Notamacropus eugenii: one gene and its partners. The protein of the gene in region 3 interacts with the protein of the main gene of each other region in a pairwise test. Links are inferred from orthologs where the notes say so. Each region holds a gene or a part of one and is shown on either strand. Other genes may lie near its edges.

Region 1 (7,308 bases), on a different chromosome or scaffold from region 3:
AAATGGAGTCTCAGAGCAGTTCCCCATAATTTACTTGCTTGTACATAGTTGCTCGCATAATGTTGTCCCTAATAGATTATGAGCTCCTAGAGGGCAAAGATTGTCTTTTGCTTTTCTTTGCGGCCCCAGGGTTTAATAGAACATCTGGCACTTAGTAGGTGCTTAATAAATGTTTATTGACTAAGTTACTCCAGGTCACGAAGTTAGTAAGAGGTGGAGCCAGAGCTCAAAGCAAGGCTTTCTGGTTCCCAGATTCAGTATTCTTTCCATTATTGCATGCTACTTTAGAATTAGAAGGCATATCTTGAAGGAGTTGTTTTAGATCAATTCAGTGGGAATACTACAATACACAACAGGCAAAAAACAAAAAATGCATGTTTTATTAGGCTGAGTTTTTACTGATGAAAAATAGAAATGTGTTTGATAACAATGCTCTTTTAAATTTTATAGTAATTTACAGTTTTGAAGTAGTCTGGAAAAATTTTATGTAATGTTATGAATGGGTTACTAAAGGGGAGTTTGGGGGTAGAATGCTAAATGTGTGCTGCGATGTTATGAAAGTCAACTAATATAAATGTGACATTTATGATGTAATAAGATTTGTGCCTTGTTTACACATATTATCTCATCTGACCCCACAACAGCCTTTAAGCTAGTAATTATTGTTCCTATTTCATAGATGAAGAAACTGTGGCTAAGAGGTTAAATGACTAGTTAGAGTCACAGAATAAATGCCTTTCAGGTTTTCCTGATTCTAAGTCCAGCATTCTATGCACTCCACGGTGGCTTCTCTTTATAACATCCCTTTGTCCATTCCAAGAGAGATAACGGCTGGTCTGAGCTAGGAAGCCATTTCCTGTAATTTTGTAAACTGTCTTCAGCGAATGGTTTCAAGTCCATCTTTTGGTAGTCCTTCATTAGATTACACTGTCCCCTCCTTTAATGCTGATTTCAGGAATTTCTAATGGCATTAAAACAAAAAACTGAGAGTCACTTTTCCATTCAGCTTTCTCATTTTGGTCCATTTCCATTTTAAGAACCTCTTGTAGAAACAAATGTGAAAGTTTAGGAATCATTTTCTCTTCAACAGTCAGCTTGTTGACAATTCTAAATGTGACATCTCTGGGTCTTAAATAACCTTCTTGAGATGCTAGCATCTAGAGAACTTTAATTATATGTTTCCCCCAAATGAGAGTTGGGTCAAGCACTTGGTCCACCAAAATGAATACCAAATAACTCAATAATTAACTGTCTAGGATGTGGAGGTGGATAAACATTTGACTCAGCAGCCAGTTTAAGATATATAGCACTGACAGAGGTACTTTTAAAAAATAATTTCAGGGTTAGGGAATTTTGATAATAGAAGTGGCTGGTAACAGCACTTTTAACTTTGTGGTGATGAGACTCAGTTTTTGACCACACAATTATTAACTGTAAAAGCAAAAAACAAAACAAAAAAGCCTTCAGCAAAGGTGTATCAAACCTTATCTAGGGCAAAAATAACTTTTTTCCCCTCCTGAAATGGCAACTTCCAAATCACTATTACAGCTCTCTGCATTCTTTGCCCGGAGGCCCTCTTTTCCTTCAGGGGAAAGGAGGAAGAATCCGGGAAGTAGGAAAGCAATCTGAGACGGGTGGGCAGAAGGCAGAACTGGAGCGGTCACTCACTACTTGTGCACCCCCGGGAAAGTAATTTAACTCTCTCCCCGCTCCTATTTTTGTGATTGTTGTTTCTCCATCAGTAAAACGAGGAGGCTGAGCTTCCTTATGATCCTGCACCTAAAATCCCAGAAAAGACACATCCTGGAGGCTCCTCCCCCAAAGTTGGTTGCTCACCAAAGAGGCTCCTCCCCCAAATTTAGTTTCTGACCCAGGGTGCTCCTCCCTCAAAGTTTAGTTTCTTATTTCTGACACCATACAAAAGTCCTCCAGAGAACCCAAACCCATAGACTGGTAAAAGTAACTGTGATGGCCAAAACGCAACCCAAAAGAGTGTTACTGAAAAGTCCAGAGACCTCTGAATCGTCTCTGAAGCTGAGTGCAAGCTCTCTCCTCCTCTTCCCTTCCTTCATGTCCTCGGTTCCCTGACAAGAGTTCCAGCAACAGTATTCTACCCTCAAGGAGACTTTGGCAGAGATCCCAGAGAGGTCAGCGGACACAGCCTTCCTCCAGTGCGGAAGAAAACTGTAAGATACCGCTACACAAATGTCCAGGAACGAACATTTCATACCTGGAAGACGCAAGACGCACATAAAACAAGTTTCTTGATGCCAAACAAAGCCCAAAAGAGTCTAAGCTGAGGAAATGGAGGTGGAAAGACTTGCTAATTTGCAATGCCATACATACACGCCCCCAAATCAATCCACCCAACCGAAACCGATTGAACGGGTAGGAGCTCAAGTGGGGAGCTACTTCAGAACCGGAAGGGAAGAACCAAGAGAGGGTTCCCTAACAGCTCGGGGAGGGGAGGTGGCATTTCCTCCTCCTTTCTCCACCCGCTCTAAGGCAAACAGCTGCCAAATATGCGCCTCCGCCTCCTGCCCTCCCCGGGTTCACAGCGCCATTCCCAGGGCACACGTGGCTGCAGAAAGCTCAGCCTTTAAGACTCTGGCTAGCTCCTACAAGTCAGTTTGACTTGAGGGTTTGTGTTGCAGCAGGGACGACTGGAATAGAAAGCAGGAAAGAAAACTAATGCCACTGGCACCAAGGGCCCTGCTTCAAGGGGGCCACCAAACTCACCTGCATCACTGAATTTGCTGCTGCTGCCGCCAGCACCATCTTCTCCAGCTGCAGCCCCCTCAATCCCAAGAGAAGCCATTCCGCTGGGAGAGTGGGGGAGAGAAATGAGGAGGTGGGGTCTAGTTCCAATGAGAACCTAGGACTCAGTTTACACCTCACCTCACCCCACCCCCAACTTCAGCCTTTCCTCCACTCCCCAACGTAGCCACCAACAGCTCTTATTCAGCAGAACCGAACAAGGGAGAATGGGAGGGACCTCCATAAGCCCCACCCCAATCGCTAGGGTGTCCTGTCCCTTCTCTGGAGTGAGGTGGAAAACTACACTTCCCACCATGCATCGGGGAGTGCAGAGGAGGGAGGAGGGAAGAGGGGGGGAGTGGAGTGGAGGAAAGCAGTGGGGGCGGTGCGCCCGAGAGTGCCCCGGCGTGTTCGCTTAGTTCAGTGAATCAGAACAATGCCTGCGCGTCTGAATCCCCGGGAGCGCGTCTGAGGAAGCTGCGGAGAGGTGCAGCAGCGGCCCCAGCTCCAGCAGCCCGAGCAGCCTTAGCATCAGTCGGAGCACAGCCCGCGCACTGTCAGCGCTTGGGCAGGCTCCAGTCCTGACCCTTCTCCCTCTTGCCCAAGGACTGAGAGCGCTGAGCTGCCTTTAGCCCTTTCGCTGCTGCTGCTACTCTGGCTTCTGGTTTATTGTTTTGAGCTCCTGAGAGGAGGTGTGAGAGAGGGACAACAGAATCTTCCTTCAGCCATGTGGATACCTACAGAGCACGAGAAATACGGCGTAGGTGAGTCTTTCTCCGGGCGAACTTTTATTCTCTCTCCTGGGCTTGCAATTTTCCTCTTTCTCTTCTTTTCTGCTCTTGTTATTTGCCCCCTATATTTAGGTGAGGCTGGAAATGGATAGTTGGGGCATAATATAGTCCCCCGTTTGTTTCCCTCTTTTGCCTTGATACGGTGCTGTGCTATGCAGATCATCTCAAAGCGGAGAGAGATACACACATCCTTGCCCCCCCCAACTCGCTGGATTGGGGGCTCGCGCCCGCCCCAACGAAACCCTACGCACCCACCCCCTTCTCTACCACCCTCCGCTTTCAGATCCGCTGGCTAGCGATCAGCCGCCGATGCAAAGGGAACGGATCCCTTAGTTCTGCGTTGCCGACTCTCATCTCCGTCTTTGGAGTTTGGAAGTGGAGATGGGTGCATGTGTGTGTCAAGTTGCAAGGGAAAGGGCGAGCCCCTTTCCTAGTCTTCCCCTTCGTCCCTTCCCCCCCAAACCCCGGGATTTGAAACGACAATCAGCTGCAGAGATTTCCCGGGAGGAGGGTTGGGGACAGAGAAGAGAGGAAGGGGAGGGGGAAAAAACCCGAAACCAACAAAACCAGAAAGGGAAGGCAAACCCTTCCTTCTGGCTCGCATGAACATCCCCAGAGTGCAAAATGTGCAATAATCTACAAAGGACAATTCTGACAGGAGACTGAGCCCGTTCTATTTCCTTCCCCAACGCCCTTCTCCTCTCCACCCCCCCCCCCCCGCACATTTTTGTTTGTATTTTGTATTAAGTGTTTTTGAGGGTTGGGGGAGTTTCTCTGTGAATTTCCGTTGAATTGCTCCCTTTCCTTGTCATTTGAAAAGGAACGAGGACTTGGTTATGTTTCCACTTCTGGCTACTGCGTCCGGTCCGATCCTGGGGTCACTGCGGGGAGCCGGGCGTGGGGTGGGGTTTTTTTGGTGGGGGGTCAGTTGGAAAGTGCATTTTCAGTTCTGGGGAGTGAGCTAGGGATAGCCGTGGGTCAGACGGAGGCAGGAGGGTACGTTTTAAGGAAAGACCTGTCTGACTTTGGCGTTTTGAGAAAAAGGAAAACAGTGTAACACTCGCTCCTCTGTGCAAAGGTGAACAACAAAGGACATTAATGTTGACTGATGAACGCTGGATTCTCCCTTCCTCTCCCTCCTCCCATTTAATACGGACTAGAGTTCCCGTTCTTGTTTGAATTAAACTGGGTTCTTCCCTTCTCCCCATCCCCCTCCCCTCTTTCTGGGTTTTCAGGATTTGCCTTAAAAAAAAGAAAAGAAAGAAATGGGGCTTTCAGTGAAGGTCCTGAAACACGAACGGGCTAACCACGGCCCTAAAGGTCTCTCTGAGATCAGAACATTTATAGAATTTATCTATTATCCCCTTATTTCTTATCTGCCATCTACTGCCGCTAGGCAGTGCTTTTGAAAAGGGCAAATCTCTGTAGATGTGGATACTGTGGAAAATCTGCTTTCTTCCCATCTCATTCGTTTCCTGCAATTAAAAAAGGAAGATCAAAGTGCTGTTTGTGGGAGTCATTTTCACAGGGGACCCTCTCTCCCCAATTTTGCCTGGAGGAGAGACCGTGGAGTCCTCTGAACTGACTTCGTGAAGTGATTAAACAAAGTCAGCTCATCTTTTGCTTGACCTACTAAAAGCCTTCGTTCTGTGTTGAGTGGTTAGCAAGACAATAGTTTCTTCTAGATGTGTTTGGAGTATGTTTGACAGCCATTCTTTCCAGCTTCCTTCTTTTCCTTGGTCGCTTTTATATTTTTTCCATATTTAGGTAGAAGCCTAAAGAGTTTGTCTTTGTTTCTGAGCTTGAGGAAGAGGGTATCATCTCAGTATCATCTCATTGCACCGGGTTTAACAATTAGTGCAAGAAGCCAAGACCCATTCAGGGCAACCCCGTCCCATTTGGAGTTGATCCCAGATGTTGCTTTCTTCCAAGTGTTAAATTATAGAGATTATCGATGGGATTCATTTTCTTTTATTTTTCTATGTGCCAGGTCACAGCTGGGTTGCTAGTATCGATTAGCTCCCCTAGTCTCTTTTCTTTACTGCTGTGGGCAGGGTCTGATAAACCACTCTAGGGTTTGCTGGAGTAGCAAACAGGATATTATCAGTGAAGTATTTCAAGCTGCAGCAAAATCACTCAGATTTGTGTGGTGGTAGTTGTGATTTGGAGGCCACTTATCTGAGTGGGAAAAGGTGGCAAAGGAAGGGGGAGAGTGGAAAGATGAGTATTTCTTGCCAGAATTATTGCTTCCCTTTGTCATTTATACTGCAAACCTTTGAGGGCTAATAATATTTTTTTTTATTATTTTTCAAGCATTTGGCTTGTGGTTGCTTAGTTGTTCACCATCCATCTGTTAGAATTTTTTGGAGTACTGAGAAAAATTTGCTAGGATACTCCTGCATGCGGAGCTTCTTTCTTCACCATGGAGAGAACTATTTGTGGCTGTTAGTGCTTCAAGGCTTCTTCTCCTCCTCCTCCCTTTTACCCTTGATATAAATGTGTGTGTTTTCTGTAGTTCTTATGAATACCAGGGAAGAGTATTTTGTGGTTATCAAAGATTTGCAATTCTTGGTTCAGTTCAGTTTCATCAGTAATTGAAATAAATTGATCCTTTCCAACCTGAAGTGTTCAGATACCTCTGAAAATCTACCACTTTTACTGTGGGACTTTTTAAAAAATCTGTAGTGATCCGTGTGTGTCCACAGAGAAAATATTTGTGTCTTTAATATATCTGTGTTAACATTTCACAAATATAATGCATATTCTTCATTTTCTTTTATAATAAATAGTATATGTATACATGTACATGTGTGTATATGTAGATGTACATATATGTATGTGTGTGTATATATATTACATATATATATTTCAAAGTGGTTTGAAAATGTAAATTCTCTCACCTGGGCAATAGAATAGCCTATAGTGTTTAAGTGATAACCCACCTTTATGTCAAAACCATCTATGTTTTGTCATGGGCCTGAATTGTCTAAAATTGGAAAATTATGAAAGATAAGAATCAAACTAAATTTCTGAGCATAATATAACTCTTTTCTTTTTAGTGTGATTAAAAAAAGTTGTTCATGATGAAATGAGGATTTTTTTTTTAAGTTGAACAATTCTGGTTATTGACTCCATCAATTAGCAGAGTAGAAAAGAGGCATTGGACTCAAATGCCAGAGACCAGGGTTCCAGTTCTGAATTTACCATTGACTTGCTTTGTGTCTTTAGGCACAAGTCAGTAACTTTGTTGGGCCTCAGTCTCTTTACCTGTAAAATGAAGGAGTCAGACTACGTGATGATTTACATTCCCATAAGCGGTAGCTTTACAGTTTTAAAGCTACTAATCACATGTACCCTTTAGAAAGAAGAGCAAAGCTTGCTGTGTGGTATATACTTTTTCCATGGCATGCCAAAAATGATTTTTAAACAAGATGAAGAGCTAAGCAAAAGCCACCCGGTTTCTTGGAGGGACTGCTAGGATCCAGGTGGCAGTTGCTCACTTTCACAGTCTGTCTGATCCTTTCAAGAGGAGTTCCTCTGATGGTGAGTAAAGCAGATTCCCCCCGCCCCCAAAATGTTTTCTGATTTCCTGCAGACTGAATAATTTTACAAAGATAAAGAGGTCACCTTCCTTCTCTGTGTAAGTGGGGATTGCCCACAGAAATAGTTCAGAGCATTGAAGGCGTAACTGCTCCAAGATTCCTTCAGCAGATAGTTGTGTGGTGCCTACAATGAAGAGACATTCTGGCATGCAGCATAG
Region 2 (7,469 bases), on a different chromosome or scaffold from region 3:
GAATGGTTGTGGATGATATGGCCACCCAATCAACTATGAAAGAGAAGAATTCATGCTCAGCTGATGCCAACTGACTGGAATGAAAATGGAATTGCCTTTAGATTGCTTACAGAGAGGCAGTGGAGTCCAGTGGATGGAAGAATGGACAGGAGACTCCATGGTTATTACACCATATATTAAATGCCAATCTCTTCAACATTCCAAGCCCCCAGAATGGTAAAAATTTGAAAATGTGTTAATAGTTAAGGTGAGGAGAGAAGGGAAAGGAAGGGAAGGCTAGTTAATAACTGGATGCAAAAAAAAAAAATCTTTCACACTTATTAAATGTCTACTAAGTCCAAGGCAGCCTGGCTTAATGGACAGAGTCAGGAAGGCCTGGGTTCAGGTTGGACAACCTTGGACACATGGGTATTAGTTGTATGACCCTGTGCAAGAAATTTAACCTTTCAGTGCCCCCAGGCAAACCTCTAGGTACCCCTTTGCCTTAAAAGAAAGAGTTTCATAGCTAGGAATTCTTTATGCCAAGGAAATCCTAAGTCTGACAAGAAAAAAAAATTAAAAGCCTGAGGCATTATACATTAGATGGGGATTCAGAATGGAATGGAAAAACTGCCCCTGCCTTCCAGAAGCTTACTTCTAATGAATCGACCCAGCTCAAGCCAGCTCAGAAGGCAATTTTATCTATCTGCGACATGGAGAAGTTGCCACAAATGACCAATCTCCTGTAAGTATGGAGTTAAATATCTTAGAAGAAAGCAGTCTACATTTTCAGATGTGAAGCAAACGCAAGTATTAAGATGGCCTGAGATAAGATAGCCTTGGACAGGATGAGATCTTATCCCGCCCTCTATCTCACAGAGTTCTTACTGTAATTGGTGTTATAATAGCTCATTATCCACAGTCAGAGTTCTGTTCAGTGAGAATTTCAAGGCAATGACTAAGGGGGAGCACCCCCAAATGAATACTTGAAATGCTCCCAGAGTGTTTTCAGGCTTCTACGCAGCAAGTGGCCAATGATGGCTGCTGGCCCCTTTTCTAACGCAGAACCCCAGCTTGAATTTCTTAGATGATTTCTTGAGATTTTCTATTTGTTTGTTTTTAAAATTCTGATCGACAACACCCCGGTGTTGACTGGTCATTCCACAATTGACTTGGACTGAAGTGTCCTTGGAATGGGGGGGGGGGGGGGGGGAAGAATGACCCAGAATATGGAGTTAGTAAGTCAACAACATTTATGGGATAGCAGAGGTGTCAGGTTTTCAACGCCCAAAGTTCCAAAGAGCAAATATCTAATATTTATCCTTGAGGAAACTGATCCCTTCCAATTTATCGGCTAATAAAAGGGCTAGTGAATGAAGAGCTTACTGACCTCAGCCGCATTCAGTATCCACTGACAAACCTAGAGTATTCTGCTATGCAGCCTTTCCTCAAGGTCTCTTGCACACAGCAGGGGCTTAATACATGTTTATGGAGTTAAACTGACCATGACAAGGAAAAAAACCAACTACAGGGTATTTTTGTGCCAAGATGTACTTTGAGATTTTTTTATGAGTCCACAACTCACTAAATGCATCAAGATTTGCCCCCATCTATCCGACCCCTCCAGGGGAATTTATTTAAAGAAAATGATCACAAAGCTCTCTACTTTGGAACTCAGGTCTTGACCTTCCAAACCGCACTGTGATATTTATTCTTCAATTCTATTAGGAGCCCTTCCAGGGTTTTATGAGACTGGCCATGCCCTCTATCTCAGGGTAAGGCCCAGGTAAACAATGTGGAGGAAAATTGAAGGGGGAAATACTACAGGCAGGAAAGTCCAATGATTTCAAACAGCTCCGAGAAATGAAAACGGAAAACAAAAGCCTTCAGAAAGCACAAGTGGATCTCTATTAACTGACCCCTTCAGTGAGGTGTAAGGAATCCTCTCACCAGACTAGCCTGCGTGGGCTTCAAGGGAGGAAAGAAGTCCCCACACCTGGCAGCGAATACATGTTAACATGAGTTTAAGGGAAAGGGTTTTTTCCCCTTCCCACATATCCCCAATGCCGCTTTCTTCCCTCTCCCCAGTCCCCCCACAAGCCCAGCGTTGAAAGCAGGAGCCTTGAAGCCACCCCTGCCTCTCCTGGCACCGCTGGCCTCTCGGTGCCTTTAGACGTCAGACAGCCGGGGAGCCTCCAGCAGCGCAGAGAGCCCACAAGGGCAGCCCAGAGACATTTCTAGCCCCATTCATTCCTCCCAGACCCCCCCTATTCTGCGGCCGGGGAAGGCAGAAGCGAGCTTTGGGACCCTATCGGAATGACACGAGGGAGAAGAAGGAGAGGGGCGGGAGAGGGGCCGGAGCCCCCCCGCTCCCGGAGCCTTCTCGCCCCCTTCCACCTGCAGCCCCAACCCGGCCGAGCTCAGACAAAGTTTGCCCGGCACTCCTCGCTCCGGGAACCAGGACAAGTTGAGCATCGGTCCGTTCTCTACCTTCGGCTGGGCTCGGGCTGAGCCCGGCGGGGCAGTGAGACCCCGGCCAGGACCCCAGCCTCTGCCCCTTTCACCCCACCCAGCCCAGGCATATCTATCCATTCCGCAGGGGGTTCCCATCTCCCCAGGGACGGGGTCACTCAAGCGCCTGGGACCCCCTAGCCCTCCCCCTGGAGGGGTGCCCCGCGCGGCGGGCGATCGCCAGCAACCCCTCTGGCATCAAGCCCTCCCTCCCATCCCCGCGGGGTACAGGAGGTCCTGGGCGCAGCGCCTCCACCCAAGCCCGGCTCGGAGGCTGGACGATGGAGCGGCCACTTACTCGGACGGGTCCAGGCTCTTCCTCTCGATGGCCGAGGACATTGGCGAAGGGGGGGGCGCGCTGCTGGGGTGGGGGTGGGGGCTCCTTTGTCGCGCAGGGCCAGGCAGGCGGCTCGGCACCCCTGGGTCCTGGTCCTCCTCCTCCTGCCCTCCTCGGGCAGCGCGGCTGCTCACCGGCCGGCTCTGCCCTCCGCCCTCAATGACATTCACGGGCTCCCTCGCAGAGCCAGCGGCAGAGCCAAGGCGGGCGAATCCCCAGGGTGGGGGGCCGGGGAGGTCAGCGGGGTGCGGGCCCGGGGATGGGCTGGGATGGGACCTGCCTGGCCGCCGGCCCCCGCGCAGCTCCGCTCTCCTGGCTCCGGCACTCAGCCCTCCATCCCGGGGAGCCTCGCCTGCGCCTGTCCCTGCCGGCCCGGCTGCGGCTGCGGCTGCGGTGCGGCAGGCTCGGCTCGGGGTCCCCCTGCCCTGGCTGCGGCTCCGGCTCCGGCTCCGGTCCGTCCCCGCCGCGAACCTGCGCCCCGGAGTCCCCGCACACCTTGGGCTCGGGCTTTCAGAGCGCGCGTGTGTGATGGGGCGGGCAGGAGGCGGCCGGGGAGGGAGGGGAGAGGAGGAGGAGGGGGCGGGTCCGGGGGCGTGCAGGTCTCCCCCCGTTCTCGCTGAAATGTCTATTTTTTGCTCAGCCTCCCTCTGTCTCTGGTTTCATTTCCTTTTTCCTGATCACGATTCAAATACAATAGAAGGAAATCACATTTAAAGAGACAGCTGCCCGTTTTATTTCTTTTCTTTTCCTTTTTCCCTTTAAAAAAAAAAAAACTGGGCTCCTGGGGGATTAACAACCCAAACAGCAGCGACCTCACGACTGACCTGGCTTCTTAAAGGGGGCAATGCCAGGGCTGGGGGGCTGGCTGGGCGCTGCACTGCCCACCCCTCAGGGGCCGAGGTGGCCTGAACCACCTCAAAACCATCCTTTGGGAATCACCCCTACCCATCTTCCTTTCTCTTAACTAAGGCTGAAAGTAAACAGGCTTGCCCCAGAGAAAAACATTTTGGATGACAAAGGGCAGAAGCAGGACCACTTTTCGAATCACAGGTGTAGAGCTGGGAGGGACCTCAGGGCTACTCTGGTCCAATCCCTTCATTTTATAGAGAGATGGAGCGATTTCTCTCAAAGCCACAAATTAAGTAATAGAGATGGAATCCCAAACCCACCGTGGCAGATCAACTGAGACACTGAGAGATATAATGGAAAGAGCCCGGGCTGTGGAGCCAGAAGTCTTGGCAAGGACAACAAATGTGCAAAGGTGTGGAGGTGGGAGAATTCAGAAAGCCTTAGATCCTAGTTTGGAGTGACAAACATGTCAAACAATCCAGAAGTCTGAAATAGATGAAAATATAATTGGGAGATGTTTAACCAAACAAAAATACAATATGACCTAGATAATGTAAATTTGTGGTTTCCTAAGTCAATGTGTGATCTGCAGGAATCTGTTCTTATGGATAGGACAGTAGGCTGGGTCTGCAAGACTTGGGACCAAATTCTGCCTTTGATGCTTTCTGCATGTGTTACCTTGGGCAAGTGTATTAATTTCCCTGGGCTCCACTTTCCTCTACTGCAAAGTGGCGGGGCTTGGATTTCAGCTGAAGATTTATGATCCTCTGTAAACTATAAAGCCTCCTAAGTGGTCTCTTCATCTAATCTCTTCCTTCTCTGATCCATCTCCCATAATAATTTTTCTAAAGCACAAATCTGACTATGTTACTCCTCACCTCAAGAACTTTAAATGGTCCAATTCATTTTACAGATGAGGAAACTGAGGCAAACAGGGTGGAGTGACTTTCACAGTGTCTGAGGTCAAATTTGAACTCAGGTCTTCCTGACTCCAGGTCTGGCACTCTATCCAGTGGACCAGGCAGGTAGAATGTGAGCCCCTTCAGGGCTGGGGCCTTACAGATGAGGAAACTGAGGCCCAGAGCCAGGATTTGAACTCAGGTCTAAATCCCATGTTTTCCCTATTGAACCACATCCATTTGTGAGCAGAAAAGAAATTCCTGAAGGAACTTGCTATTCCTTTAAAAAATAAGGTTTTTGTCTTGTACCATCAAAGCCTAGTAAGATACTTTGAGCAAAGCAGGAACTTCACAAGTGCTTGCCCTGGATCAAGGAGCTGGAAGATTGCTAAAATCCCCCTTCAAAGAGTCGGTAGATGGTCGCTCTCCTTTTCCTGGGTCTTGAAGCATCCTGTGAGGAAGCTACATTTTAATTTTTTTCAGTCAGAGACAATGTTTATTAAAACACTATTGGGGTGGATGAAATTTTAAGAATCCTTGAATTTGTAATGCTTGTATTGACAAGCAGGGCATGATTTAAGAATCTGAGTCAGGAAGCTACATTTAAACAATAACCTTATATCAATGTGAACTGGTACCATGGTACCCCAAGAGACTGGAGTGACAATGCTGGGCACTGGAAAGAGCATTGGTTTGGGAGTTGGAAGCTCTGGTTTCAAATTCTGCCTCTGGCCCTTACCATCTGCGTTTCAGTTTCGGTCTCAGTTTCCTCATTTGCCAAAGGAGGTTGTTGGACGAATTGGCCCCTGGCACTTTTGGATCTAGGATCCACAGCATTATTTCTAGGCACATAGCTTGCCTGTAAGGAGTATAGGTCACAGGAAGGGCATGGGTTGACCTTAGGAATGGAAGGAAGGTTTGTCCAGATATTGGGGACAGGCCAGGTTAGGCACCCCTAACCTGGGGTTGCAGTGCTAGAGATCCCAGTTCAGCAGAGGTGGGGGGAGAAGGGAGACATTTCAGAGCCTGTGCAGGGCTTTCTCCCCTGCTTGAAAATGCTGAACCGATCTAGTGGTTAAACCTGTTCACTTATAAATAGCCAGTAAATAACTGCAAATACACTGCCCTGCATTAATGATAAGTAACAGCAGGAAGATTCTTTTGCCCTTCCCTCCAGGCATCCAGAAGGAGCCAAATGAGATGTTCTGATTTTCGAGCTATTTTATATTCACCTCCAAAGGTAGAAATAGGAAGGGTGGGAGGAAGGGGCTCATATTTACCAACTACTCCATTTCCACAAAACTCACATTAAACAACCTCATTAAAAAGCACTTATAAACTTTTAAAAAAAGTATTTCTTAAGGGCCCTGGGACAGTGGGGCTTAGAGAGAGCACTGGATCTGCAATAGAATGAGGGCAGTGCTATGCACTAACCCAGTGACCTTGGACCAGGAGCTCCTCATCCCTCATCCCTCATGTGGAAAATGGTCTGGATGATCTCTATAGCTCCTTCCAACTCTGATTTCATGCTTCCTGACTTGGGAGCATAGAGTGATAGACAGAATTAGAGCTGGAAGGGACCTCGAATGCTAACCTGGCCAATTCCATCCATTTACAGATGAGGAAACTGAGGCCCAGAGCCAGGATTTGAACCTAGGTGGTCTTATTTTAAATCCCATGTTATCCCTATCGCACCACATCCATTTGCTACCAGAAAAGAAATTCAGGGAAGAACTTGCTATTCCTCTAAAAAATAATTCTACTGATATCTTTTGTTTTTATATTGCTTTTATTACCTTCTCTTCCCACCCGCAGTGAACCAGCCCTTAATCCAGAGAATTTTTTTAAAAAGATAAAAAAAATCATTACGTGGTACACAGCTTTTTGGTACATATTTTTTTGCTTGCCAACCTTCCTCCATTAGATTATAAGCTCCTTGAGGGCAGGCATTGTCTTTTGCCTCCTTTTCTATCTCCAGCACTTAGCATGGTGCCTGGTACACAGTAGGTGCTTAATAAATTCGTACTGAGAGGAATCAAATGCTTGTTCCTTCAGGGCTGTAAGTCCAGAGACCAGTCCCCACGACCACGTCAAGATTAATCCCTGGACTACGATGCATATATTTTTATCCCTCCTATGATTCTCCGGCCTTCTTACTCTAAGAACTGGGTCCCTGACAATATGAACTAAATGTATTTTCCTGGAGTCAGGAGGCTGCTAAAGGAGCCACTCTATATCCACAGCCTTCACTATATATTTTTAAGTTATTAATATAAGAGACGTTCTCATGCTCAGACACTTCCTTTTAATGGGAAAAGCCTCCCAGACTTTCTCAGGCAGCCTGAATTATGTGATAAATATTTAATGTCACACATAATCACTGTACAATCAGGAAGGAGAGTAAAGAAGGGATAAAATTCATGGGGGTCCAGGTCCTAACTGTTTTATAATTCTGAGAATCGGAGAGATCAGAAAGTCAGTGAGGATGAAAATGAAGGCTTTCACAATTTCCTTAAGAAAATAAATCCTTTTTTTAAAAAAACATGAACAAGCTAAGAATTTTTTAAAGAATTTTATAATAACATATTAATGTTTATTATCTCTGAGAGCAAAGAGTATGTTTGCATTTCTTTGCTTTAATTAAGTCTGATAACAAGCCAGTTATTGTCTTACATGCTCTAATTCTGAATTGGGGCAAGAATCAGTCACAAAAATAAATAGATCTTTGGATTCCAGAATGTAAAATCTTCCAGATGGGAACACCATAGCCAACTTTTTTTTTTCTCACAAAGTTTCTTTTTACCAGTATGCTTTCTGCTGTTGGCTAAGTGTGCAATGAGTGAGAGAGAGAGAGAGAGAGAGAGAGAGAGAGAGAGAGAGAGAGAGAGAGAGAG
Region 3 (7,207 bases):
GGGGGGCTTCAGATGGGCCCCCCTCTGTCTTGACTTTGACGATGACCTTACCAGCCCCACCCCCGCTAGGGCCTGCTCCCCCATCCCCTGTCACCAGCAATGTACTAGGGAAAGCAGACAGAACCAGGGGGCTACCCGGTGGGAATGGTGAAGAAATGGGAGTTTGAGGTGGTGGCTCCCAGAGAGGCTTGTCTGATGGTCCTGGAGGGGGTGGGGGTAATGGAAGTGAAGTACAGGGTGGGACAGGGCCAGGCTTCGGGGTCATTTCAGGTCCAGACAATGAAGGAGCTGTTGAGAAAAAGGAGGGATTGGAGCAGGAAATGAGGCAGCTAGAGGCCTCAACATCTGGGGACCCTTTGGACCCTGATACATTGCAGAGCTGGTCCCCTAATTCATAGGGTAAACATCTTTACCAGTCCAATAAAAAAAAATGTCTACAATATCACTGACAACTTCTTTAAGGATATTCTTAGAAGTCTACCTCCACTGTGTGGTGTCCCAAGACATAGAACAGGGTTGACATGCAGGAGATAACAACTCAAAGTATGTCCCCAACTAGGAGGTTGAGCATCTGATGGGAGAATCTAGAATCTGGCCCTTCCCTAGGCTCCTTTGGTGTTCCTAAATTAGAGATCAATTGAGAGAGGTTCCTGGCCCTGTTTCTTCATTCCTCCCCTTTTTCATCTCCTTGCTCCTTTTTTTAAGTCCCCTATTCCTCTTCTCATCTAAAAGTACAATAAAAAAAGTTCTATAGCCATAACCAATTTATCCCTAAAACTCTCATTCCAATTAACAACTCATTCATTTCTGCTTATAGAAGTAAAATCAGAGACATTCCCCCTACTCCCAGCCATCTCTAGCCACTTAATAATCTTCCTTCTAGAATCTTCTTAAGGTAAGGAGGGGAAGCCCATACAGATTCCTAGAGATTCTCCACTCCAGAGGAGTAAAAACTAGTCAAAAGGAGGTAGTAGTAGACTAGGTGGATAAAAATGACAGGTTTTCTTACGCTTCAGAGAGCTAGCAGATAGACCCCGTGAAGTGTGGCAGTTGCTCCTAACACTGATTCTGATTCTCTCTATCGTTTACCTAGGTTATTCCTTCAGTAATGGAAAGGACAAGGGCTTTCAAATTAACAAGTAATTATTGAGCACTTCCGAGGCACAAGGCACTGGGAATACAAGAAAATATAACACCACATATAATACATAAGATGCCTTCTAAGGAGATGCCTCCATTTAATAATAACAAGAATTTAACAATCCACCTTATCCCACAAACGACGTGAAACTCACACACAGTTTACCTCCCTGACCATAAAATAAGATCATGGAGTCATGGATGATGGTAGACAAGCTCATCACTCTGATGACAAGCAGGGAAGGGTCAGGACATGCTAGCCATAACAGAAAGAGGGAGGGAACAAGATGAAATGGGTTAGAGGGCCTAGGATCCTAGGATAGATGAAACAACTCAGAGTAAATCAGTACTGCCTATGTTCCAGCTGTGGTTGAATAACTATGTATTAACCACCTCCCCAATACTCCCCAACCTTCAGCCCCTGATAAATGCAAGAAACAAGTTCCAGAAGTTCCCTGGGCAAACAAAAACAGAGGTTTCTAGGTGTCAAGGAAACTGAGGTATTCAACCCTAGGGCAGTTATTGTATTCTATATTAATCTATGGGGAAAGGGGGGAGGGGGTATTGTTTTGAGGTTCTCCCCAAGCCTCCTAGTCTCTTGGTAGGTTCAGGGCATGCCTCTGCAAAAGAGGACCACTCTGGCCAAATTTCTGTCAAAAGTCTTTTCCATCCAATTCCCTCTGTCCTCTCTGATTGAATATATCCCTGCTGAAATATCAATTTCTAAAGCAAAAACTTGGGAAAACAGGGTCTCTGCCAGAAAGAAGGACGTAAGTGTTAGACCTAATTCTACTAAGTCCTTTTGTCCTTCTTTAAGGTGGCTAATGCCTAGTGACTGGAGGCTTCTTGCCTATTTAAGTCAATCTGCTAGTGGGTCTTCTCTCTCAACTCAGAGCTCCCTGGCTCAGTTCCTCCAAGGCATCCCAAATCAGCTCTGAAGAGGCTGGCTCTGTGAACCCCAAGGCTCCAAACTGGTTCCCCAACCTCCCCGGGTCTGTTGCCTGAGCATGGGATGGATTCATTGGTCTGTCTTCCTCTTGGGTCCCACAGTGCAGGTCACAAAGGTGATCCCCAGGGCTACAGTCCCAAATTTCTTTCCCTGGGGCTCGAGGGGATAGGGGGCACGGATCTTTGTGAGAGGCCCCCAGCTCCGCTCACCTCCATCTGGGACTGGACCCTCTGGCTTGGGCACTAATCGGGGCTGCCTAGCAGCCTCCAGGATGGCACAAGGGTCAGGGCCAGGGCCCAGAAGGCCACCTGGTCACAGTAGCTGCCCAAGAATTGAGGGCAGCAGAAGGGAAAAGATTGAATCAAAACAGAACTGGAACCTGGAAACCCGTGCATTCTACGCAGTGGGGGAAGGGAGGGAAGAGTGAGGGCCAGGCCAGGGGGCCGAGGAATGTTCTAGGGAAGAGGGGGAGGAGAGCTCGGCGGGGAGGATCTGAATTCAGAACCCAACTCAGGCGACGACCCTGAATGGGCAAGCCACTCAACGTGGCCGGCCCCAGTTCCACGTCTGGGCCACGAGGCTGGGCGGGTCCTCGCCAGCTCTCCACGTGCGTGGTGGGGGCGGAGGGGCACCTTCCAGCCTCGTCCCCCCCGCGGCTCCCAGGTGAGTGGGCGGTGCAGGTCCCCATCTCCCACCTCCGAGCGCAGCGCCCCTCCCCGTGCACCTGGCCGGGCCGCCTCTGCACCCCCGGAGGGTGCGGCGCAGGCCTGGGCGCCCCGGCCCTCGTGCCTCTACTTACCCCCTGGGCGAAGGGGAGCCAGGGCCTGAGCTGGCCTGCGCCTCCATGTTCTCAGCCGCACAAGATGGAGGGCAGGGCCTGGCCGCGGCCTGGGCACCCTCGGCGCCTGGATTTCCTCGCCCCTCTAAGGCTCTGGGCGCTACTTTTCTTCCATGGGACTACTTATTGCAGTTTGCATGCAGGGGAGGGATATTCAAGTTCTGGGTTCAAAAACAGCGGCCTCTCCATCCCTGAATGGGCTGTGGCTAATGGCCTCCCCTGGCATTCGAAGCCCACTCCCTTCCCAACTTCCAGCATAGGGATGCGCTCCCTAGTGCAATCCCAGGGCGAGGACTCCCCCTTCAGGAGGGCAGGAGGAGAAGAGGAGGGGACTACACCTCCCAGCATGCCGCGGGGGCTCTACTTCCCGGAAGTGTCCCTGGAACAAACACGTGGTCGGGGGGTGGGTCCGCGCTCCCGGGCCAAGGCGGAGGTGGAAGCCTGCTTGTGGCCGAGTCTTCCCGTGGCCTGCCCGCCTCGCGAAGGGAATTGGCCGCCATGTTTCTGCAGTATTACCTCAACGAGCAAGGGGATCGGGTCTACACCCTAAAGGTACGGAGAGGAGGCGCACTTGGGGGGTGGAGACGCAGGAGGGAGCTCCGTTCCCGCCCTGCGCGGCCGAGCTGGGCAGCGGCCTGTGTAGACGCTCTTACCGGCGGCTCCGTCGGGCCTCGTTATTGTTTTAACGAAGAAGGAGCCGAGGCCGAGGGAGGGGAGCGGCCGGCCCGGGTCACTGCCTTGTACCGAGAGGGTCGTGTAGGGAGAAGAGGAGGAGGACGGAGGCCGAGGCGGGCAGCCTTCGTTGTGCCCGGACCCTGTGCTTGGCGCCGGCATAGAGTGTAAAAAGAAGAGCCCCCCCCCTCCAGCGGGGACCCCCCGTGGTGATTCCGGGGGGCGCTGCCGGGGGACTCGGGGCTGTTGGGTGGGGTTTGCGCTTGGAAGGAGCTCGCTCCCCACGCCCAGCCCTAAATCCCGCGGAATTCAGCGTGTATCCCAGACCTTGTCGTCTGAGTATCTCACCTCACAGTCAGCAGACTTCATGAAGACCTACTATGCACAAGGCTGTGGGAAACAGAAGGAAGGAAAAGGTTGTCCCTGCATACCCTCGGCACCCACAGCCTAGGGACCTAATCGTCCTTAGCCCAGGTCTGGTCTGTTGGTCAGGGTAATGCTGGGGCTGGGGCGAGGGGATGGATGAGGAGAAATAAACAGCTTCGTCCTCCCTGCCTGTCCGAGTCTTTTCGACCTTTTCTCTGGTTCTGCTCCAAAATAATCAGTAAACCTACTGTGCTAAACACTGGGGATAGAGTAAGCTGTACCCTCAAAGAGCTTACGATGTGGTGAGGGAGACAACGTAGACAAATATATGTGTGTGTGTGTATATTTATAATGTGTGTATATATATATATATGGCAAGCTATGTACAGGATAAATAGGAGATAACAAGGAGGAAGGCACTGCAAGTAAGAGGGGCTGAGGAAGATTTTCTGTAGAAAGTAGAATTTCAGTTGGGACTTCAGTAGGTAGTGTTCCACCCATGGGGCATACCAGAGAAAATTCCTGGAGCCAAGAGATAAGAGTGCCAAGTTTGTCAAATAGCCTGGAGGTCAGTATCACTGGATCAAAGAATATGTGGTGGGGGGAGTAAGGTATAAGAAGACTGGAATGATAGGTAGTGGCTAGGTTATAAAGAGTTTTGAATGCCAAAAATGCGTTTTGTATTTGATACTGGAGGCAATAGGGCTACACTGAAGTTTGAGTAGGTGGGTGATGTGATCAAACCTGTACTTTAGGAAAATCACTTCATAGCTGTAATAGGGGCCTGTACTAGACTGGTGGCAGTGTTGGATGTGAGAATTCACATTCGGTTCTCTTTGTTCTCCTAACAGAAAACAGACCCTGCAGGACAACAGACCTGTTCAGCGCACCCAGCCAGATTCTCCCCAGATGACAAGTACTCCAGACACCGTATCACCATCAAGAAGAGATTCAAGGTTCTCATGACCCAGCAAGCACGATTGGTCCTCTGAATTACCAAACCACCCAGGACTCTGGCACAAGAAGCTTGTCCTACATCTAGGAGACCTCATTCAGGAAGAGCTTACATCTTTGACTCTCTTAACCCATTGTCACAAGTTTAAAATGACGCCCTTTGTACACTTGCTTCTTAGAATCTAGCTGCAGTTTGCCTGTGTTCCTCTCTGTACTTGGTAGCAATCAAGCTAAAATGAAAGTCTAAAGTTGCCATATCTTTTTAATCAATGTTGTAGGCTATTAAAACTGAAATGGTTTAGAGATCTATTTTTCCTTTTTAATTGGGGGCAGAAAAGTCTTTGAATTGATCAGAGGAAGCCAGGTGGCTTAGTGGATAGAGTACTAGGTCTGGAGTCAGGATGATCTGAATATATTTGTAAAAAGGTATTTAACACAGCACCTGGCATGAAGTAGCTATAGAAATGCTTATTCCCTTTTCTGATCAAAAAATAATATCCATTTTTATTATTGTTTTAGAATACTAGCATGTTTGCATTGGAATTCAAAAGTCCTCATTTTCTTCAGTAAAAATTAATCAAATTGGACTAGATGGTCTAGTTTCTTTTATCTCTAAATTCTTAAGTCCTGTGGATAGTCTTGAATTCCTTCCCCTCTATAGTGACACTGATATTCAACATAGCACACACAGCAGTGCCCATGAGAGATGTCTTCTGAATGGACTGAGTGACCAAAGAGGTTATCTTTGTCCTAAGGAAAACCTTTTGTACACCTTAAGGCACCAGGCATGTGTGGGCTATTATTCTCTGGAGTCTCACAGTTTCTCCTAATTTCTGAACAGATTAATTTTAACCAAAGAATCCTCTGAAGCTCAGATCAATTTAAGAGAATAGCCACACATTGTGACAAATGTTTTCAGGTTGAGGGTTGAACAAGTAGAAAGATTAAAAAATTAAGTTTTAATATTCTGATCAATCCATGTCTGACGGTAAACAACAAAGATTTACCTTAGGGCTTTGTGGTAGAACCCCAAAATTCTTGACTTTATTTCCCTCTCTCCCTTTGCATGTAGGGAAACCCACAAGTGCAAATGTCTTTTGGGAGGTGTTAACCTAAAGAAAACTTAAGCACAGGGAGTACAAGGAAACCTCCAGGAGCAGTAGAGTCATACTTTGAAAAACCTAATTCTTTGTCTGTTTTTCTGATGGGGTATGGTCTAAAGTCTTTTTTATTAAACCAGGAGATCTTCCTCTCACTGTTTGTAGACCTCAAGACAACCCACTGTCACAGTCAAAGCATTAGATGGTTCTTTTGAGGAAGACGATGAGGTTAACAAGTTGACCTAGTCTTGCAGACTGTGTCTTCGCATTTACGTCTTATAGACAAAAGGATAACCTTGTTGCTTTTCTGCACTTAGTGAAGAATATTTGAGTCACTCCCCAACAGAAAATATGAAGACACAAGTTTTTTGACTATCCTTATTTATCCAAATTCTTGAATTGAATGGTTTTGCCTCCTGCCAACCCTTTGTTAATCTCCCAGTTCCTCAAAAAGTACCCAACCTTGAAAGTGTATGTAGGTGAGAGTGATGACTAATACTTACTGAACAATAGGAGGTTACTAGGTAGCTCAGTGGATAGAGTCCTGTGCCTAGAATCAGGAAGATTTGAATTCAAATACAGCTTCAGACACTTCCTAGCTGTGTAACCCCTGGGCAAGTCACTTAATCTGTCTTAATCCGCTAGATAAAGACATGTCAAACCACTCCAGTATCTTTGCCAAGAAAACTCCATGGGTAGTATAGGAATGCTATATGGGGTCACAAGGGGTTGAATGTGACTGAAACACTGAACAACAACTAAAACATGATTGATGTTTGAATTAGATCTCTGAAGTGAGAACTAGGAAGGGAAGAAATAATTCAGGTAAGAGTGCTGATGAGATAGATTCCTATAGGGAGCAATGGGCGGCTAATAAGTGAAGAAACAAGTGTTGATAGTACTAGTGGGCATGAGGGAGGAGGTACTTAGAACTCATTGGTAACCTTCAAATATTAAGATGATGGATATGCCAGCACAATAAAATTAGGCTGAATGTACTGAGGTGATGTTTATCAGGTCTCCAATGGTATCTGGTCACATACCATCTGAAAGACCCAAACTGCTCAGGAAATCAGTAAGCACATATTAGGCTCCTTGTATATGCTAGGCACTGTGCTAAGCATTAGGGATAAAAAGGAGGAGGGGGTAAAGGCAATATGATGGGAAGCATGCTCAAAAGCCAGTATA
Region 4 (7,151 bases), on a different chromosome or scaffold from region 3:
CACTGGATTTTCCAACTATATTAGCGATCTGCAATTCTTGAATAGGTTTCAAACAAGTATGGAATGGAAAAAAATCTGAAAATGTAGTTTTTAGTAGTTTCTTTCTAAAAACACAAATATAAATGAATTGTATATCTGTGTAAATTCTACGTAGATTACTTAAGGTAAATTTGTTGCTCATATCAGGGCAGGCTGTGTAACAAAAGCTTCAGTTACAGGAATGAGGCTAATAGGGCTCCAGAAATAGTTTATGAAACACTTAAAAATGTAAGTGGGGTGGGGGAGGTGAGAGGTGAGACTTCCAGCTGGGCTGGACTTCCCCAAGTGAGGGAATACCTTCAGGTACCCTGTGGTGATTAAGGCCACTTATAACAATATCATGTGCACATTCCATTCACCAGCCTTTTAATAGTATATGGTGTCACGTCCAGAGAACAAGTTACTCTAACACAGAATTCTAAGACAGAACTGGGGGGGGGGGGGGGGGGGGGGGAAGTGGGGGAAGGGAAGTGAGGGAGTGAAGGAATGAAAATAAGAATTTTATTTTTATCATCTGTTCTTTATAGATCATATCGAAGCAACATAATGACTTCCTAGGGGCCATACTGGTCTTCTTCCTACGTTGCTTAAATCAAGCAAGTCACATTGTCCAAAAGAAACCCAGAAAACCCAGACTCTACGTGATCTGACTTACTTATTTCATAGGAAACTGCATGAAAGAAAAATCAATCATTCATGCTACCACAGTTAGCATGTAGTACCCCAGTTACAACACCAAATGGACTGAAGTAGTTCACTGTGCAAAAAAAATCAAGTTGAGGTAAGTCAACAGCATCAAGGGAAAAGGGGTGGGGGTGGGAAAGCCTATACAGAAAGAAACCGTGGGCTAGTGCATTTCTTGTCCCCTGGCTTCTGTGGTCGGGGACAGGGGGTAGAGGGAGGAGAGAGATAAGAGCACAAGTTGGTAGTCCAAATGGATTGGTTGCAGCCAACTTACCGGGGTTATTGGCTTCTCCTTCAAGAATGTGAAGCTCAGTGCAGTCCGCCAGGGAATGCTCCAGGCAGATCTGAAGAAAGCGAGCCTGGGTCCTGCTCACCCGCTTTAACAGGGACAGCAAAGCAACAGTCTGCTCGCATTCATTCCAGCCTTTAAACCAACCTGCCAGCACTCCGACCTGATCTCGAAACATCATGATTAGGGGGGAAGCCTCAGTGGGAGAGAGGGGGGAAACGAATACAAATCCCCCTCCCACCCTGCCCCCACCCCAAAGTTTACTGGAGTTGCAAGCTCAGCGGTCACCAGAATAACGTCCTTTTAGAAAAAAATCGCCTTTGGTGCATGGATTTGTGCAGATTATGTTGCCTTCTTCTTTCAGTTACGTTTCAGTGATTCTTGCTGATTTCCTCAACGAAGATGACGGTAGCATAGGAATTTTTTTTAATATGGAAAAAATCTCCACAAGGCACACAACTGTAAGAGCTCTTTTTTTTCCTCTCGCACAGCCAGGGGTTTCAGACGTTTCCAGCTCTTTTTTCCTTCGGGCAACAGGTCAGACCCTTCTTCACACCCGAATTCCCAGGTTCACAACTGGAAAGAGAGAAATTGGCTGCGCTTAGACACCGGCGGAGATAAGGGGAACGGCATGATTCAGCAGCAGGGTAGCCTCCCGCTTCACAACGTATTTTAGGAGATTTCAGGTCAATAATCTGAGTAGTGTATGGGGGGAGGGGACGGGGGAAAGATGTGTAGAAGAGTAGAGTATTAAAAATAACAGCCGTCCTCCTCGCATGCACCACTGAGAGAGGCAGATAACGAGGTTTCCAGGGGAGAGATTTAAAGAAACCTCCCTCCTAAGGTGCAGGAGGAGACCCCAGCAGTTTCCTGTGGCTGCTGCTGCGGCTGCGGCTACTGCCTCCTCCTGCTGCATACGGGTCTCTCTTCCCTGAGGACTTTAGGCACTGTACCTGATACCGCTAACTGCAACAGATCATTCAAGCAAAGAAAACTTACAATACGCCGAGGGGGAGGGGGCCCTCAAGAATCCAGGTTCCTTCCTTCCTTCCTTCTTTTTCCTCCTCCTCCTGTCGGAGAAGCAGCCTAGCGGCTGCCGCTCCATCTACACCAAGCAGCATCTCCAACCACCAGACTCCCCTTTGAATCTAGGCCTTGAGCAGCAGCAGCGAAAGACAAAAATAAACTCTTCCCACCCAAGCCTTAACACACAACCTGCAGGAGCAAAGAGCCTCCAGACTTCCCTTCCTCCTCCGACTCCCCTCCCCTCTTCTGTCTTCCCTTTACAAAAAGCCTGGTATGATATTAAAATAAAAATAAAAGCATTTTAACACCCTTTTCCCCCCCTCCTTCTCGCGGCAGGGTGGGTCAGTCTGGCACAGAGGCTGTCCACATCCCCCCCACTGGCACCCCCGAAACGACTTCCCGTCTAAAGACCCCGGCGGCTGCTTGGCAGCCCAAGCCCGGAATGGTTTCATTAGCAGACTAGGGAGCTTCGCGGAGAATGCGGTTCCGCGCTGCCAGCACACGCCCCCAAACGTTGATCGCAAAGAAAAAAAAGTTAGGTTCCTGTGGCTTTCCCGTCCTACCCCCCCACCTTCCCTCCCTCTCCCTCCTCATCTTCCCCAGGTTTCAGGGATTGGATCTAGAAGTGGGAAGAGATGTGCCCAGACTCTAGACCCAACTCTCAGAGCGATTCAGGCTTCAAGCATCCCCATACCTCACCCACCCTCTCTCAGCCTGGCTTTCCAAACTTCCCAAGCAGAAGAGGAAACCCTGGGCTGGGGAGAGGCCAAGAGAACCCGCTCCCGGCCCCCAGAAGTGTGTGGGGCTGCAGGGGAAGGGTCACTCACCTCGGCCCCGCTCATCGCTGCGGGCTGGCGCCCCCGCACCGCGGGTTCCAGGGCAGGCGGCAGTTCTCAGAGGAGTGGGGAACCCACAGGCCCGCGGACGTGGGCCATCCCGGAGGCCAGGTCCGGGGGCGCGTTCCCCGAAGGCTGGGGGGATCGGCGGCGGGGGTGGTGGTGGTGGTTGCGGCAGTGTCTCGGCTGCCGCCGCTGCAGCCACTGATGCCGCCTCCTGTGTCAGCTCAGTGAGGACTGGGGCCGACCGAGACCGAGTCGAGCTCCCCACATGCTACTGATTAACATACACCATTACATCATGGCTTTGGCAGCAAGAGCCAAAGTGGGGGGAGAGCAACCCCGCGGGGAGGGAAAAGGAGGAGGAGGTGCGGGGTGGGGGGGAGTCCTAACTGAAGGAGGGGGGTGGAGGAGGAGGATCCCTAAGTGTGGCTAGGGGAGGAGCTCGATGGGAAAGAGGGGTCAGGTTGGAGGAACTGAGGAGCAAAGGGAAAGAAGTTTGGCGGAGTCGAGGGGGAAGGGGGTGGGGCTGGGCAAATTCCTTTCCCCGGCCTCCTCCGAAATTCTGGATGGGCTGGGTTACAGGGACCACGGAGCCAAGGAGAGAGGCAAAGATTGAGAGAATGTGTGTGTGTGTGTGTGTGTGTGTGTGTGTGTGTGTGTGTGTGTGTGTCTGTGTGTGTGTGTGTGTGTCTGTGTGTGTGTGTGTGTGTGTGTCTGTGTCTGTGTGTCTGTGTGTGTATGAGAGAGAGAATGAGGATGAGAATGAGAATCCGGGGTCTCATTTCTGCAACCCCTTGTACACCTCACCACACCCGTAGCTCAGAATTTCATTCTCCAAAGTGAGTTTTAAAAAACGTGTAGCCAGAGGGTGCTTTTCCTTAACTCTTCAGCCTGAGAGAATGGAGAGGAGGGAAGGGGAAAGGGGGAAGAGGAGGAGGAAAAGGGGGCTGAGAAAGACACTTCTTGGAGCTAGAGGGAGGATCTGGGATTGGAGAGTGGCTGGGTAAGAGCGAAGAGAAAAGAAAACTTGACGGGGTTGTGCTGTCTGGAGAATACTTGTCCTCCCTGCGGGCTACACGCTGTGAAGTATAGCTAGGCGCGAACACACAGAGCAGGCTGTGTATATACTCATGCAGTATGTGTACTTATCCACCAGAGATGAGAGCAAGGACTGAGTTTTCTCCAGATCTTGCTGTATAAACAGACGGTTAGGGAATTGGGGCTTTTAAAAAGTCCTTTACACTTAGGACAGAAACTTTTCTGCTGCGGTGGCAGAGACTTATTCCTGGCCATTGCCAGAACGTTGTTTGTATTTTTAGGCAGGGCATTCGCCTTCCACCGTCCTAGTCCCATGGTTGCTGAGTTAACTCTTCGGCTAGAACTGGGGAGTTTGTCCAGGGGTTAAACTTCACCTACTTCTGCTGATCCTCTCCACTGGTGACGTTGGTCGTGGGAAGGTACAGTGGTGTTCATTCAGATGGAGGGAAATGGTGAGGTTGACAGAGATAAGGGCATGAAACCCTAGGTGCTACAGTGCCTAGAGGGATTCCACCCCTCTGCGGTCCCCTACCCCCCCACCAGCTCACCAAAGTGGTTCCCTCAGTTCCCTGATTCTCAAGGCTTGGGCCTGATTTGAATAATAGAAAGGGTTTTTGCTTTTTTGTTTTGTTTTGTTCTATTTTGAGCTTTGGGGAGGAAGAGAAGGAGCAAAGAAAATATAGGACAACTGCTTGAAGTGGATGGTTAATTGACAACGGAGAACACAGAAGGGCAAAATTCTTGTTTTGTTAGGTTTTCTCTGCTAAGGGGTTTGAACCGAAAATGCAGGGGTAGAAAATGGATAACAGAGAGTTGGTACCCAGAGAGAATGCGTACTCACTGTTAGTAAATTCAAGTTACCTGGCCCAAATGAGCTATTCTACACTAATAATGGTTGTATTATAAAGGTCACAGAAAATGAGAAAGGGGAAAATGTATGGCTGAACCAGAGAACAGAAGAGCTTGACTTTGGGGAGATTCTAGAATAAAAGGATCATTAAAGAAATAGTAAATATCTCCAAAAAGAAAATAGTGGTTACAAAACACAACAGCAACAGAGCTTCATCAAGAGCACATCATCCCAGATTAACCTTATTTCACTTTATGAAGAGGTTAATAATAAAATAGATAACAAAATTGTAACAAAATATCTGATAATGTATCTCCTACTATTCTTATGGAAAATATGGAGAGGCCAGACCTTAATAAATTAGATGGATTCAGAACTGGTCAATAGCGAGACCCCAAAAGTAGTCACTGGTGTTAAATGCAGCTAGGTGGTGGAGTGGATAAAGCACCAGTGCAGGAGTCAGGAGTACCTGAGTTCAAATCTCACCTCAGACACTTGACACTCACTAGCTGTGTGACCTTGGGCAAGTCACTTAACCCCAAATGCCTCATCCTGGTTCATCTCCAATCATCCTGATGAATATCTGGTCACTGGATTCAGATGGCTCTGGAGGAGAAGTGAGGCTGGGGACCTGCACAGCCCTCCCTCACTCAAAACAAAGTGAAGTGGAAGTCATGTCATCATTTCTCTGATGGCATGATCTTCTTCGACAACAAAGGGTGAACCCACAGGGTGGTAGGAGGTCTCCAGCGAAGCATCCCAAGATCTGTTCTTAGCCCTCTTTGACTTTTTTTAAATCAGTGACTTAAAGATGTAAGTGGCATGCTCATCAAATTGACCAATGACACAGAACTAGAAGGAATAGCTAACAATGACAGGATGACAAAAGTTCTTGAAAGGTAGAACATTGAGCTGAATCTAAGAGTATGAAATTAAGTAAAGATAAAGTCTTAACTCAAAAAATCAGTTTTGCAGGTACAAGATGGGAAATAGTAATGGTAAGAATGCAGTTTGTCTGTAAAAAAGATTTGAAGGTTTAACCCTGTTCTTCATTAAAATACATTTATTTCCAGGAATAAGGAGGTGATAGTCCCACTATACTTTTTCCTGATCAGACTTTAAAGTTGAAGGACATTCATAAGTGGGCCATTTATCCAAGAGGAGGATCCAAGAATGATGAAGGGTCTCAAAGTAATGACATATGAGCTTTGGTTAAAGCAACTGAAGATGTTTAATTTGGAGAAGAAAAGACTCTAGGGAGGATATGATCATTAAGTCAAACAAATATTTGAAAGTACACAAAAGAAGTATTAGATTCATTCTGCTTGGCCGCACAGGGGGAATTAGAAGTAACAAGTGGAAGGTGAAAAAAACAAACAAACATATTTTAGGCTTGGTGTCATGACAAACTTCCTAATCATTAGAAACATCCCAAAGTGGAATGGGATGTTTTGTGGGTGATGGGTTTTTCCTGACTGGAGACAGAGGCTGCCACTAGAGCCGGCAGAAGTGAGGGTGAGTGGGTGGGTAGGTGGGGGGAGAGAAAGAGACAGAGACAGACAGAGACAGAGACTGACTGACTGACTGTCTACCAGAGAAGTCTCTACATAGAGACAGTAGGTGGCACTAATAAGCAAGGCATACCCCAGGCAGTGGAGGGGGGGGTTAATGGTGACAGGTGTCTCCATTTCAGGACAAGGAAGGAGAGGAGTGACTTTAGTTTCCTCCTTCCTCAGGGGACATTGCATTCTTTTTAAACTCAGCCTAGCAAGAATGACTGTCAGTAGTTCAAAAATGAAAATGAAGTTAGCCAGGCTTTGCTCCTCTTAGCAGCCAGCTCTCACCTGGTCATGATTTGTTTCTAGGAGTAGCTGAATCCTAAATTTATATGCCAGGCTTGTACAGTCTAGTCTCACTCTTCCATCTTGATCCTGATAATCACGTCTTTTCCCCTCTAAAACAAGGAATATTCTTTCCCTTAGCTTCTCTATATTTGTATTTAAATAATATAAACGTTGTTGCTTTACATTTCTGCTGGCCAACAGGATTTTATAGTAGGTAAGTTACGTAAAATGGAAGATAGCAGATAAAGAACATTCAGGCTAAAATACTTGACAGATAGAAAAGGACTATGTAGCTTTGCTAGGAAGTAATAGACACCTCATTGATCTGGTCCCATCGGGCCACTTCTTACTACCCTGGAGCTGCAGATCTCTGTTTTGGCTGCTCCTTCTGGGGCCTGACAGAATCAGTCCAGATCTTCTGATAGGTTATCGTGGCTTATTTTTAGCATATTTTTCACTTCCATCTTAGCTCTCTCGTTGCTCTTTTCTTCTACTACTCCTTTTCAATAAGCAAGGGTGGAACAAATCTGAGAATTAAGGTC

The links.
Region 1: the proteins of NUTM1 (region 3) and ZNF277 interact in a two-hybrid assay, tested with the Homo sapiens proteins (2 studies listed by BioGRID). The two-hybrid records come from large-scale screens. The link is inferred for Notamacropus eugenii from reciprocal best matches to the Homo sapiens genes NUTM1 and ZNF277.
Region 2: the proteins of NUTM1 (region 3) and LMO2 interact in binary tests that used the Homo sapiens proteins (3 or more experiments, as listed by UniProt). The two-hybrid records come from large-scale screens. The link is inferred for Notamacropus eugenii from reciprocal best matches to the Homo sapiens genes NUTM1 and LMO2.
Region 4: the proteins of NUTM1 (region 3) and SAMD4A interact in binary tests that used the Homo sapiens proteins (3 or more experiments, as listed by UniProt). The two-hybrid records come from large-scale screens. The link is inferred for Notamacropus eugenii from reciprocal best matches to the Homo sapiens genes NUTM1 and SAMD4A.

Annotation. Positions count from the first base shown.
Region 1 is NC_092874.1:141,837,217-141,844,524, forward strand, and holds the start of ZNF277 (zinc finger protein 277), read right to left. Parts: upstream 3,011-7,308; 5' UTR 2,819-3,010; coding exon 2,740-2,818; intron 1-2,739. Other genes in the region: DOCK4 (dedicator of cytokinesis protein 4), read left to right, coding at 3,485-3,521. UniProt on the Homo sapiens protein: Probable transcription factor. Involved in modulation of cellular senescence; represses transcription of the tumor suppressor gene INK4A/ARF, perhaps acting via the Polycomb group (PcG) complex PRC1.
Region 2 is NC_092877.1:17,525,294-17,532,762, reverse strand, and holds the start of LMO2 (rhombotin-2), read right to left. Parts: upstream 3,011-7,469; 5' UTR 2,830-3,010; coding exon 2,789-2,829; intron 1-2,788. UniProt on the Homo sapiens protein: Acts with TAL1/SCL to regulate red blood cell development. Also acts with LDB1 to maintain erythroid precursors in an immature state.
Region 3 is NC_092878.1:17,208,254-17,215,460, forward strand, and holds the start of NUTM1 (NUT family member 1), read right to left. Parts: upstream 3,001-7,207; 5' UTR 2,889-3,000; intron 2,669-2,888; exon of another isoform or gene 2,299-2,668; intron 289-2,298; 5' UTR 266-288; coding exon 1-265. Other genes in the region: NOP10 (H/ACA ribonucleoprotein complex subunit 3), read left to right, coding at 3,426-3,479, 4,817-4,957. UniProt on the Homo sapiens protein: Plays a role in the regulation of proliferation. Regulates TERT expression by modulating SP1 binding to TERT promoter binding sites.
Region 4 is NC_092872.1:333,739,999-333,747,149, forward strand, and holds the start of SAMD4A (protein Smaug homolog 1), read right to left. Parts: upstream 3,004-7,151; 5' UTR 2,866-3,003; intron 2,495-2,865; exon of another isoform or gene 2,228-2,494; intron 1,589-2,227; 5' UTR 1,194-1,588; coding exon 998-1,193; intron 1-997. UniProt on the Homo sapiens protein: Acts as a translational repressor of SRE-containing messengers.